3 linked regions of the Oryzias latipes genome follow. Each later gene encodes a partner of the first gene's protein in a complex. Links are inferred from orthologs where the notes say so. Each region holds a gene or a part of one and is shown on either strand. Other genes may lie near its edges.

Evidence for each region.
Region 2: scnm1 (region 1) and cwc15 share a complex: the UniProt entries of both Homo sapiens proteins name them as parts of the minor spliceosome. The link is inferred for Oryzias latipes from reciprocal best matches to the Homo sapiens genes SCNM1 and CWC15.
Region 3: scnm1 (region 1) and cwc22 share a complex: the UniProt entries of both Homo sapiens proteins name them as parts of the minor spliceosome. The link is inferred for Oryzias latipes from reciprocal best matches to the Homo sapiens genes SCNM1 and CWC22.

Annotation. Positions count from the first base shown.
Region 1 is NC_019874.2:27,122,223-27,125,977, reverse strand, and holds the start of scnm1 (sodium channel modifier 1), read left to right. Parts: upstream 1-1,116; 5' UTR 1,117-1,208; coding exon 1,209-1,259; intron 1,260-1,478; coding exon 1,479-1,549; intron 1,550-1,622; coding exon 1,623-1,711; intron 1,712-2,130; coding exon 2,131-2,222; intron 2,223-2,950; coding exon 2,951-3,051; intron 3,052-3,142; coding exon 3,143-3,270; intron 3,271-3,363; coding exon 3,364-3,475; intron 3,476-3,755. Other genes in the region: lysmd1 (lysM and putative peptidoglycan-binding domain-containing protein 1), read right to left, coding at 1-19, 213-395. UniProt on the Homo sapiens protein: As a component of the minor spliceosome, involved in the splicing of U12-type introns in pre-mRNAs. Plays a role in the regulation of primary cilia length and Hedgehog signaling.
Region 2 is NC_019872.2:16,001,143-16,004,897, forward strand, and holds the start of cwc15 (spliceosome-associated protein CWC15 homolog), read right to left. Parts: upstream 2,423-3,755; 5' UTR 2,323-2,422; intron 1,967-2,322; exon of another isoform or gene 1,964-1,966; 5' UTR 1,957-1,963; coding exon 1,826-1,956; intron 1,023-1,825; coding exon 910-1,022; intron 802-909; coding exon 701-801; intron 1-700. UniProt on the Homo sapiens protein: Involved in pre-mRNA splicing as component of the spliceosome. Component of the PRP19-CDC5L complex that forms an integral part of the spliceosome and is required for activating pre-mRNA splicing.
Region 3 is NC_019879.2:6,703,916-6,707,670, reverse strand, and holds the start of cwc22 (pre-mRNA-splicing factor CWC22 homolog), read left to right. Parts: upstream 1-991; 5' UTR 992-1,112; intron 1,113-2,299; 5' UTR 2,300-2,301; coding exon 2,302-2,356; intron 2,357-2,454; coding exon 2,455-2,666; intron 2,667-3,755. UniProt on the Homo sapiens protein: Required for pre-mRNA splicing as component of the spliceosome. As a component of the minor spliceosome, involved in the splicing of U12-type introns in pre-mRNAs. Promotes exon-junction complex (EJC) assembly.

The sequences.
Region 1 (3,755 bases):
CTCTCTTGATTTGTTCCATCTGGAAGACAGAAGAATGTTGTTGTTTTTTTTTTAAACTAACAAATGTCAGAATCAAAAAAAATTATGTCATAACATAAAACCAATGAATAGATTTTACTTTTAGTGTGGAAACAAAAGATGTTCCTTGTTAATATTTCAAATTGTTTTAATTGTCTAAAGTAGGGAGTACAAATCTGGTTTATTATACTTACAGAGACTCCATACTTCAGGGCCAGACCTTGGAGCGTGTCTCCGGACTGAACCGTGTGTTCAACGTGTCTCTGGCGGACCGGAGACGCCGGCGACGATCGCATCAAGCTGCCGTACGACATAGCTCGGCTTCCGCGAAGAAGACCGCCTCTCCCGGATGGCAAAGCCGCTCGTTGTCCGGACATATCCGATAATTATTTATGTGAAAATCATCAGTAACACGTACGCAATTTTAATGTTGGAACTGGTTTGACGTCGTCCTAAACTAGCAAGCCCAGTTCACCTGCTAGCTGCTAAAGTATCGACTAATTCATCTTCTTCTTGCCAAAGTGCCGAAATGGCACTGCCTGAACCTTATCAACAGTCGGGAATTGAAGAAAAACTACTTAAAACACCTTAAACATAGCTTAACTGTCAGTAAACAATCTAAAAACATATCTAAAAACTTTAAATATGTTGTTTTTTTCAGTCAGCTGCAGTCTGTTGCCATGGCTGCCGCTGTGAATGACGGCTCTCATTGGGTGGGTTGTGTTCAAAGTAATTTGAATACTGAAATTTAAATGAAAACATAACATTTTTATTTTTTTTATTTTAATCAGAGTTTGTTTAGTATGAATTAAAATTTCATTGATTAAAATAGGCAGTTTTTTTCCCCTTCGCGATTTATTTACAAAAAATATGTGATGTTATAAACATTTCACATCGATGCTTTCTTAAGAGTACATGCAAACAAATCAATTTAAATGTAAAATAATATTTTAACAATGGTTTGTTAGACTAGTTAACTTGACCATAAATAAATGAAATGGTACGATGGGAAACTGCAACGTGGTTAGCTGGAAATCGTGGACAAAAAAAGTGTACATGTTTGTCCCTGAATGCAGCACTACCAACACTTCCGGGATAGTGTGACGTATAGAGAAGCTAGCCCAATGAGTTAACTCATTGAGCTAGCCGTTAATCTGGTGTTTATACCATTGATTTACTTCGATATAATTATGTCATTCAAAAGGGAAGGAAATGATGGGAGCCAACTTAATATTTTAAAGGTATTTAAAATGATATAATACATTGTATTCATAAAAGAATAGGCTTTCTTAAAGTTCATACGCTGTCGTTTTTTATTTGTTTTGCTAGCTTAGCTAGTAGCAAGTTTCATATGGATATAATGTACACAGAGTAAATGAAAACTGTTTGGTAAAGTATTTAATGTAAATTTTTCATCTGCTATGAAATACTTACTGATGATTTGGGCTGTTGGTTTACAGAAACGGCGTGTATCTGACCTTTTGTCCAATTTTATTCCGGAAGATGAAGCTGCTCTTCTGAGTAATGGCAGGTGAATATAACTAAACCCTAAGTGTCAGTTTTGTTGTGAAAGTAACTCACCTTTCTGCGTTCGCTCCACACAGGTACACGTGCCTTGTGTGTTCGTATCGCCCAGTGTTTGACACAGTTGACATGTTGACAGTCCACAGGCAAGGGAAGAAGCATTTAGAAGGTAAATATCCTCCTTAAAAAGTGACTCTTAGTGTGGAAAATTTTTAAATTCCCCAGTATAAAAGTGTCTTGGTGGTCATATTTAGATGTAGACAAAACACTGTAGGCTCATTTCTCTCAGATAGTGTTTGCACATTTGGCCCCAAACAGATCTTCTGTGTTGTTGATGTAACAGGTGTGTCATATTAAGGCACTAATGACAGGAGGTGTGAGCATCATTCGCCTGACGTTCGTTGTTTTCCGACATTAATGCTACATAACAGAGTATTGGTAGAAAATGGATGTAAATGTCACTCCAGAATGGGTGTGACATGTAAATATGTCATATATGTTTTCTTATTTTTTAAATAAAGTTTTATTATGCATGTGCTTTTGGTGCATGCTTTTATATCCGTTGTGTTTTTTTGTTTTGTGTTTTAGGTTTAAAATCCTTTTATGGGAAAAAGTCAAAGTTCAAGAATGAAATTGCAAAAAGAAAACATGAAGATTATGTCAGAGCAGAAGACAAAGAGGTTTGGAGCTTCAACTTGATCATTTTACCTGCGGGTAATTTTGTATTTTGACCGACCGACCGACCGACCGACCGACCGACCGACGTACCGACCGACCGACCGACCGACGTACCGACCGACCGACGTACCGACCGACCGACCGACCGACCGACCGACCGACCGACCATCACACGAAACAATGACATGATGACCGACCGACCGACCATCACACGAAACAATGACATGATGACCGACCGACCGACCATCACACGAAACAATGACATGATGACCGACCGACCGACCATCACACGAAACAATGACATGATGACCGTGTGATGACCGACCGACCGACCGACCGACCGACCGTTTTTACAGAGACGACTAAATACTTAGTGTTATTGTGGTTAAATTTTTATTGTTGCTGAATTATAGTACTTTATTGACTTGTTTTGGAATGACAGTTGTAGAAAGGATGCACCTCCTGTACTCCTGTAAAGATATTATGTCGCTGCTTGTAACATGTTAAATATGGATATAAGAATAAGTCGTATTCTTGTGTGACATCCAGTACGTGCTTGTGGCTGCCACGTGACTCAGACAACCTGTAGACTCTGCAGCGTGAGTTGAAGCGGGTGTCTGCTGGTGGAAAACATGAGCAGAGCCGGCCAGAGGACACATGGAGCATTTAGCTGAGTTGGAGTCTGTCAGAGCTCAGTCTGAGAGACAAGTCTCTTTTGTTGTGATTGCAGGAGCCCTCCAGTTCGGCACCTTTACTGGCACAGACCCGGAAACTTACCCATCATGCTCTTCTGAAGACTGTTCCATACAACAGCTGCCACAGAAAAACCAGGTTGGTCATCATTTAAGGTTAAAATACTCATCTGTAGTTTAAAATGGAAGTAAAGATGTGAACATATATCTGTTTATTTATTTATTTTCAGTACAAAGTTGAATAAAGGACAGTCGAGCACTGCTGGAAACACATTTCAACACAATTTCCCATCTGCATGTTGGAAACCAGAAGTTTCTGACAATGCATCCACAAGTGATTCTAGTGATTGTTTCACAGGTAAAATCTGCTCCTAGAAATCATATTTTGATATTTTATTTAAAATAACTGATGGTTCTGTTTCAACTGATGCTTTTATTTTTATTTTTGTAGAGTCTTGTTCATCCAAAGACAGAATTCAGTGTCAGTCTGAGTCGAGACAAACGGCAGAACTCATAACGCCGCAGAGGCGAAGAGAGATGGAGCACTACCTCAAACTGAAAAGGTGCAAAACTCTCTTTTCCTTTTTGTCACCAGTGCTAGATTGAATCTGCAGGCCACAGAAACTATGTTTTAGAAACTCTTAGCTTAACAGTCCAAGCAGTAAACTGATAAAATGAGTGAAGTCCTCTGCCTCAGGCTCCACACCCAGCTCCTCTCCAGCATCTTCACATGCGGCCCGTTGAAATTATTCTGCTTCCTTGATTTGTTCTCTCACTCATTTATTTGTGTTTGCACCATTTCTGTACATTGTGATTTATAGGGTAACAAATATATGGGATGTA
Region 2 (3,755 bases), on another chromosome or scaffold:
ACATTTACAAGAGAGTACATCAGTCTTTATTTGTAGTGTGCACACTTGGACACTTTTAAGTCAGCTACAGTTATCAGTTTAACTAATGCCACCTTGTTGGAGGTACCAGTGCTGGATGTGTTGCTGGTAGCTGTAGATGTGGATGAGGTTCAGCTTCAGGAGCTGTACTGTGGGACCGACCATAAGAGGCAATGCAGGGAGTTTAGCCTTTAAATACACCAGCCTGGCATTTGGAGAGCCCCAGTCTGCTCAATTTTTCCAGAGGAGGAACAACGGTCATATTTAAATCAAGTTTGTTTGCCACACTTTTTAAATTTTGTGTACATTTTTTTTCTTGAATGAAAAAACTAAGTTTTAAGTTTACCCACAATTGTTCTTTTAGGTGGTCTGATCAGCTAAAATTAACCACAAATGAACCATCTGGGATGTTTCAAGTTTAATGTGTCCAAAGCAGAGAAGTTGTACAAAAGAAATTGTTTGTTAAAAGTCAACTTTACAGTGATTTTTCCCCAATTAAGTCAATCCAGGCATTTTATTGCTAATTTTAATATTTACAGTCTTTAAAGAGAAAGTTTTATAGCACTAAAATATCAATATCTATTCAGATCATGTCAAGTGCAACAGCGAGAAAAGGTCTCATCTCCCAGCCGTAGGTGTACTGATGAAATGTTTTCTTTATTATATCAGTGCAGACACTTACATCAGTGAGAGGGTCATCAGCATCAAGGTTAGCAGCTGGAATCTGATCCAACCTGGGCCTCTTTGATGATGATGAAGATGATGAAGAGGATGTAGTGTGTTCTGGAGAGAAAAAAATGTAAAGACTGCATTTACAGAAAAATACATACTTTGCTTGGTTTATACTTGTGTGTCAAAAACAGTAAGTCTAAAATTTTGATAGAGACTAACCTCTTGGTCCCCTCTCTCTGGTCTTCTCACGTGCTGCTACACGCTCCTTCTCCTCCAGTTCCCTACGGAAATCACGGGCACGCACCTCCTCGGGGGCATCCTGAGTGGGCTGTCTAAGGGATCATAGCATTTTCAAGACTAAGTCCCACTACAAACTCCAAAAACCACTCATGAGATAAATAGTAACATGTACAGTTGGGGGAAAAAGTATTTCTCAGTAACATATTTAGCAAATTGTCTAATTTAAAAAGATGAGAGGTCTATGATTCCATCATATACACTACAACTGTGAGAGATTGAATGCATATTAAAAAAAAATATATAGCGAAAATTGTAAAAATATTTTTTGTAGAACTTGCACAATTGGTAAATGCAAACCACCCCTCCTACACACTGTAGCTACAATTTAAACATAACCTGCAGCAAACAAACCATCAAGAATTATCAATACTAAATGATGTACTCCAAATGTACAAAAGCTTTATGGTTATACAATTTAGTTGATAACCATTTTAATACTGAGCAATGACTTATTAGATGCAAGATATTTGTGAGCAAATTATTTAACATTTTCTTAAGGGTCATGGAGAGACACTAAATAGACAAGAAAATGCACACATGCCCCCCCCCCCCCCCATGTCATAAACTGATTCATGTGATGCTCCAACGTGAGGTTAGCTTAATTGTACCCAACACATTATACATGTAGACATTTAATCAAGTGTAGATTTATGTTCCACTTTTTAATAATTATAGCACAAAAAGACTAATTTAATCAATCCGGTTTGACCATTTCCCAAATAATTCAGATTGAATCTTCGAGAATCTTAACATGATTAAATATGTTTCTTTCAAACAATCGCTTTCTTTTTCAACTGAGCTGTCGCAGCAGAGTTTAATAGGAACTAAAAACCACCTGTATTTGATCTTGGTGTGACCTGGAAGATCTCGGCTGGAATATTGCTTGGACAAGGCACTCAGATCGCCTTCTCCTTTTCCTCTCCCTCCTCTCGCCGGCTCAAACGTTGGTCTTGCTGCGGTAGTCATCCCTAACCTGCTTCAACAACAACACGGTATTTGTCAAACATGAGTACAGTTATTTTCAGTTAGCTACTGTACTTTAAACGCAGAACAAACAAGGTAACATCAGTTGTATATAACAAAACATATACATACATTTATCGATTAAACAGACTTTAATACTTATAAAGGGTATTACTAGCCACCAAATTTGATTATGCTAACACTCAGACAAGACAAAAAACTCATTTTGGGCTCTTTAGAAAACTTATTTGTTTTAAGATTCACTGCACACTAATCAAACGAGATGTATGGCTACATTTATCATATTTATACCGTTTTAACAAAAAAACATCTGTAAAAAAACGTCTTTGACTTGGAAAAAATACTCACGATTCCACTACACGGCTAGCGGAAAGAGGATACCATAGAACGTCACTTCCGGATTGAAATTGCTGTTGCGCATGCGTCAAGAATACGATTCTGTTGGTGCGTTTAAAAAGAATTGGAAAATGCATTACTCATTTCAAATGTAATCTGATATTTATCGTAAAGAAATTACTATATTGTACCAAAGGAGAAAGAATTAGCACAAAAATGCTTTGTTACACCTTTCTTTTTCAAAATGCTGTGGTGATATTCCAGGGTACATGGTTGAATTCTAAAGCATTACAGCCAAAAATGTCTATTACTGATTTCAGCAAACCAACACTCACATTTAAAATGAAAAACATATAAAACCTTTGAGCACTGGTGTAAACAAGGAAGTGTTTACGAGGAGTCATCTTGTCTCTTCTTTTGAAGTAACCGGTAGAATTACTGTAGAAATGTGCGATTAGGGTTTGCAAAACATTTTACGTGGCCACCATGGGGCAATGTGCATCAGGTTCAGTGTCTTCCTGTAGCTTAATTTCTCCACTCAAAGTGAACATTAACATCACAACATGATTTTTAAATATAGTTTATTCCAAATTGAACACATTATTTTTAACTTTATTTAACAGTCTTGATACGTAGATTCTATTAAACATAATTGAAACACTTGTAACAGATGTAAAATTCCTGTCTTTTTCCATTTTAGACCTGATGAGTCTTCATCCTTAGGTTTTGAGATGTTCTTCTCAGATAATATGCCTTCCTCTTTAAAAGGATGTTTCTCTGGATTTGTGCCGTTGGACTCTTTGCTGCCTTTGGCTTTAACTTCAACTACAGAAACACTGGTTTATATTTGTTCAGTGTTTGCTGTTTAAGTTTGATGAGTTTATTTTATTCTTTTCCAAAGATATATCAATACATAATTGTGAAAATACAAATCTAAAACACCTCTTAGGCTCAAAAATACACTCTTAAATGAAAGGGAGAAGAGAGAACATGATTTGCCCCTTTTCCCCTTAATACTGAACAATATTTGGATTGCACCAAACTTGTCCCTCCCCTCCAATGTTTTAAGAAATGTCTGAGAAATGACAAAAGTATTAATCAATTTATAAATAATTTAATGAAAATCAGGCATAACTCTGGAATTTTTGTACAATAATTAACTAGTGAAATGACTGGACAAAGTATTGGTAACTTAAACTTCATATTTTGTTTTCTGTGCCTTTCAATTAGAATTCTGCACCTGTTTGCAGACATTTTACCAACTTTTTGTTAAAAAAAAAAAGCTTCATTTTTAGTGTGTTTGGAATGATTGCTATGCTGGAAGAGCCAGCTATGTTCTGACCTCAGCATGCTTACTCTAACAAATGCAAGAGGTGTTCATACCAGAGTTCCATTTGGATCTAATGACATTCTCCCAATACTCTTCTGGATCAATCAGATGATCT
Region 3 (3,755 bases), on another chromosome or scaffold:
TATAAATATCATACCTAATCAATGCCTGAAGTTTGGTGAGTTTATATTCTGCAACAAATCTTACACCACAATTTCCCTTTAGAATGTGCAGCCAAAATGAAAAGTAATGCTTTTATACAAAGATGATAAATTAATTTGGTTTTAATTTCAAAAGGTTCTAGTTCAGTGTCATCACTGAAAACAAGGTGAGCATCTTTACTACAAATTTTGACCGCTTTATTAGTAAGGTTTGCTGAGCTGTGGTCACCCCTGGCTGCAAGGTGGGCAAAATATCAATGCCAACGACTCTAAGAATACAACCAAAATGTACTTATTTTTCCTAAAAGCTAATGACCACCTCTTGATTTATGTTTTGAAGTTATTTCATTCAGTTCTTTGTACAGAAATGGGAGCTACCGGCAATTTTTTGTTAACATTTGTTCATTTTTGCAAGGTTAGGTCTTAAAGCACTGTTGTCCATTTGTTTTTGTTTTTTCAGTGAGTTTTTTCTCACAAACCTCAGAACAACACTTTCATAAAAACTACTAATCATCAATGTAAAAAATCTTCATCTTTGGAGGATTCAGCATTCACGTCCATTCCAAAGTGTCAATTCAAAGTGTCTGTGTTGTTTGGGTCTGCGATCTGTGGAGGATTTTAAAATATATCTATTTTGTATCATAAAATATAATACATTCTTCACGTCGAAAATTAGGTTTTTATCAGTAGTGCAATATAATTATGGTCTCTGGGCAAAGTCGTTTGGATTCTGTTTTTACTTTTATTTTGAAAGTACAGAGGAGAGTGTGTTAACTTGTGTTTTCTCCCTTCGGCCGAAGTTTGACAAAGCGACACGAAAACACAGGGAGAATTGAACTCCAATCTAATTTAAGCGTTAAATTGAGTCGTTAGTTGAACGTACAAATTACGTCAGTAGTATGACATGTCAAACTTATTAAACAAATCCATTCCCTCGGTTACTCTGCTGTTCCACACAGCAAGAAAACTTTTATTGTGAAATCCGGATGCGCGTTGTGAACCGGAACTACATTTTAAGTTTTTCCGCCTTAACAGGACAGTAAAGAGACATTTCGAAATATAGTCGACAAAGGGAATTTGAAGGCTACTAAACGGCAAGTAACGGAATATAGTTTTAATTCAAAGACTATGAATGAACGATTTTCTAGTTTTACTAACAGACTAGCTAAAAATTAGTCGTGTATCTTTTTGGCGTTTATGTAGCATTAGCAGTTAGCCGAGTAGCTCATCCAGATTCACATGGTTGCCGTCAGTCTCTGGTGTAAAAATTAGTTTGTTTATAACATTGTTAAACAAATCTTTTATTTTCGACTAGTGTTGATATTTATTAGCTTAATATTTGACTTGTGATTAGTTGTAGGTATTTTGTTTCTCAGTGTTCCTGGAGCTACCTGTTGTTAGCTCAGTGGATAATAAAATGACACAATTATACCTAAAAAAATAGATAGCAACTAGGGATCGCTGATTATTTTATTCTTTCCATGGATCTGAAAGACCTTACCACTTCAGAAACTGTTTATTACTACATTTAAAAAAAACATGATTGGTGTGGTTCCAAAATAACTGGTTTGCCATCTAAGTTCTTCAAATGTATGGCTGCCCTTAAGTTAAACTGGAGATTCCACATAAAACAAACAAGTCCGAGTATAAGGCGTCTCAAACTTTGAGCCAGGGTGACACTTTAGTTCGATTCCTACTGCTTGAAAGTAAGAATAAGGACATTAGTGCACTTGAAGTTTTACCAAAATAAGAAAAATAAATTGGCTCTTTTCTTAATCCAGTATTCATGGGCAACCAACCCATGTGTACCTTATTCTCATTCTTTTAAACTTTTTCCGTACTAAATGAATTAAACTGGATTGTAAAATCAAGTCAACATTTATTATTATTATTATTATTATTATTATTATTATTAATGTCACTTATAGTCTTGCTCTGCTCATACCCAATATTACTGTACATTTAGAATTCACCTGATGTTCTGGTTACTGATTAGATTTCCAAAGAGGTTTTTATTTATTTATTCGTTTGCTTTTTTACTTTATTGGCCTTCTTAAGAACCATCCCCACCACCACCACCCCAAAAAAGTCATCCCTCATAATTGTTTATTGATCACAAAAGACTGTTGCATTGATGGGAGATAGATAGTCAAATATAAAAATGTTGTGATTTTTTTCTTCTTCTTTTTAAATGCTTTTAAGTTGTGTTGTGAAAGAAGATTTTATGTTTTCCGTTCACTATACAGGAGATTGACTATTTTTCTGCCTCCTTTTCTTTTAGTGATGGACTCTTCAGATAAAAGCCAAAGTCCCACTCCTCAAAATGAACCACCTAGAGGTGAGTAAAACACTGCCAGAACAATAGTGTAGTAATCAAATGTCGGCATCAGTTGATTTGATATCAAATTGTTATTTGGGTCTGTTCTGGATGTACAGCAGGTGACGAATCCAATCCAGCTGATGGGAGACTCCAACAAGTTAGTGCAGAGGAGGAAAGCACCAAAGAGCAGCAGTCTCCACAAAGAAAGTCTCCAATGTCCAGGAACTCATCCAAGAGCCCCAACTCTAGCAGCTCAGACAGCAGCAGCAGTGAAGATGAACATCATGGTGCACTAAGGAAGATACGGAGTAGTGTTGCTGAAATCAAAGTGAGTTATTTCATATACGTACTGTTTTACAATCAACTTCCAAAAATTTGAATATCATAACAATAGTATGTTCATTTCCATAATTGCATTAAAAAATACACTTTAATAGAATCTAATCTCATGTCCCTTTGTTTAATTAATTTCGCGTATTTATTTGATTTTTTTATTTATTTATTTATTTTGCATAAATTAGGATTCCAGCTTATGAAACCCACAAAAAACAGGATTTCAAAAAAAATTGGAATACTATGGAAATATTTTCCTAAATTTAGCTAGCATGAATGTTTTAAATTGGGTTTCATCAACTAATCACCTACTAAAATCAAGGTTCAATATGGGGAAGACTTTAGACTTCACAACTGGCCAGAAGACCGTCATTGATCCCTCCATAGTCTGGGTAATCAGTCACCAACGTTCCTAGCTAAGGAAGCTGGCTGTTCACAGCTGTCCAAGCAGATCACTGGAAAGTTCAATGGAAGGGTAAAATGTGGCAAGAGAAGATGCAGGAGCAAAAGAGACAACCGTGGGCTTCAGCGGATTATCAAAAGATTAAAGAAGCTCCAGAAATCCAGAAAGAGTGGAATGGGGGGGAGGAACAGCTTTAAGAACCACTACACTCAGACGCATGTGGGAGATGGGCTACAACTGTCGGGTTCCTCGGGTTAAACCACTTCTGAGCCTGGACAAACGGAGGAAACATTTCAATGGGGCCAAAATGAAGAAGGACTGGACTGTTGGCCAGCGGTCCACGGTCCTGTTTTGTTATGAGAGATAAGTGTGCCGTTTATTTGGACTGGTGAGGAGCAGAACCCAAACTGCTAGGGGTCCAGTGTGAAATCTCCACAGTCAGTCCTGATTTGGGCTGCAATTTCCAGCACTGGTGTTGGAAAACTCTGATTTCCGTCTAGCAGAATGTTCTAGAGCAGCGGTCCCCAAACCCCCGGGTCGCGGACTGGTACCGGTCCGTGAGTCATTTGTTAACGGGCCGTGGAGGAAGAAAAAAAAAAGAAGCTTGCATTACTTCCGTTTTATTTATTTCCGAATCTGAAAGATGTTTTATATTGAAAAATTGCCCGATTATCTGTTTTA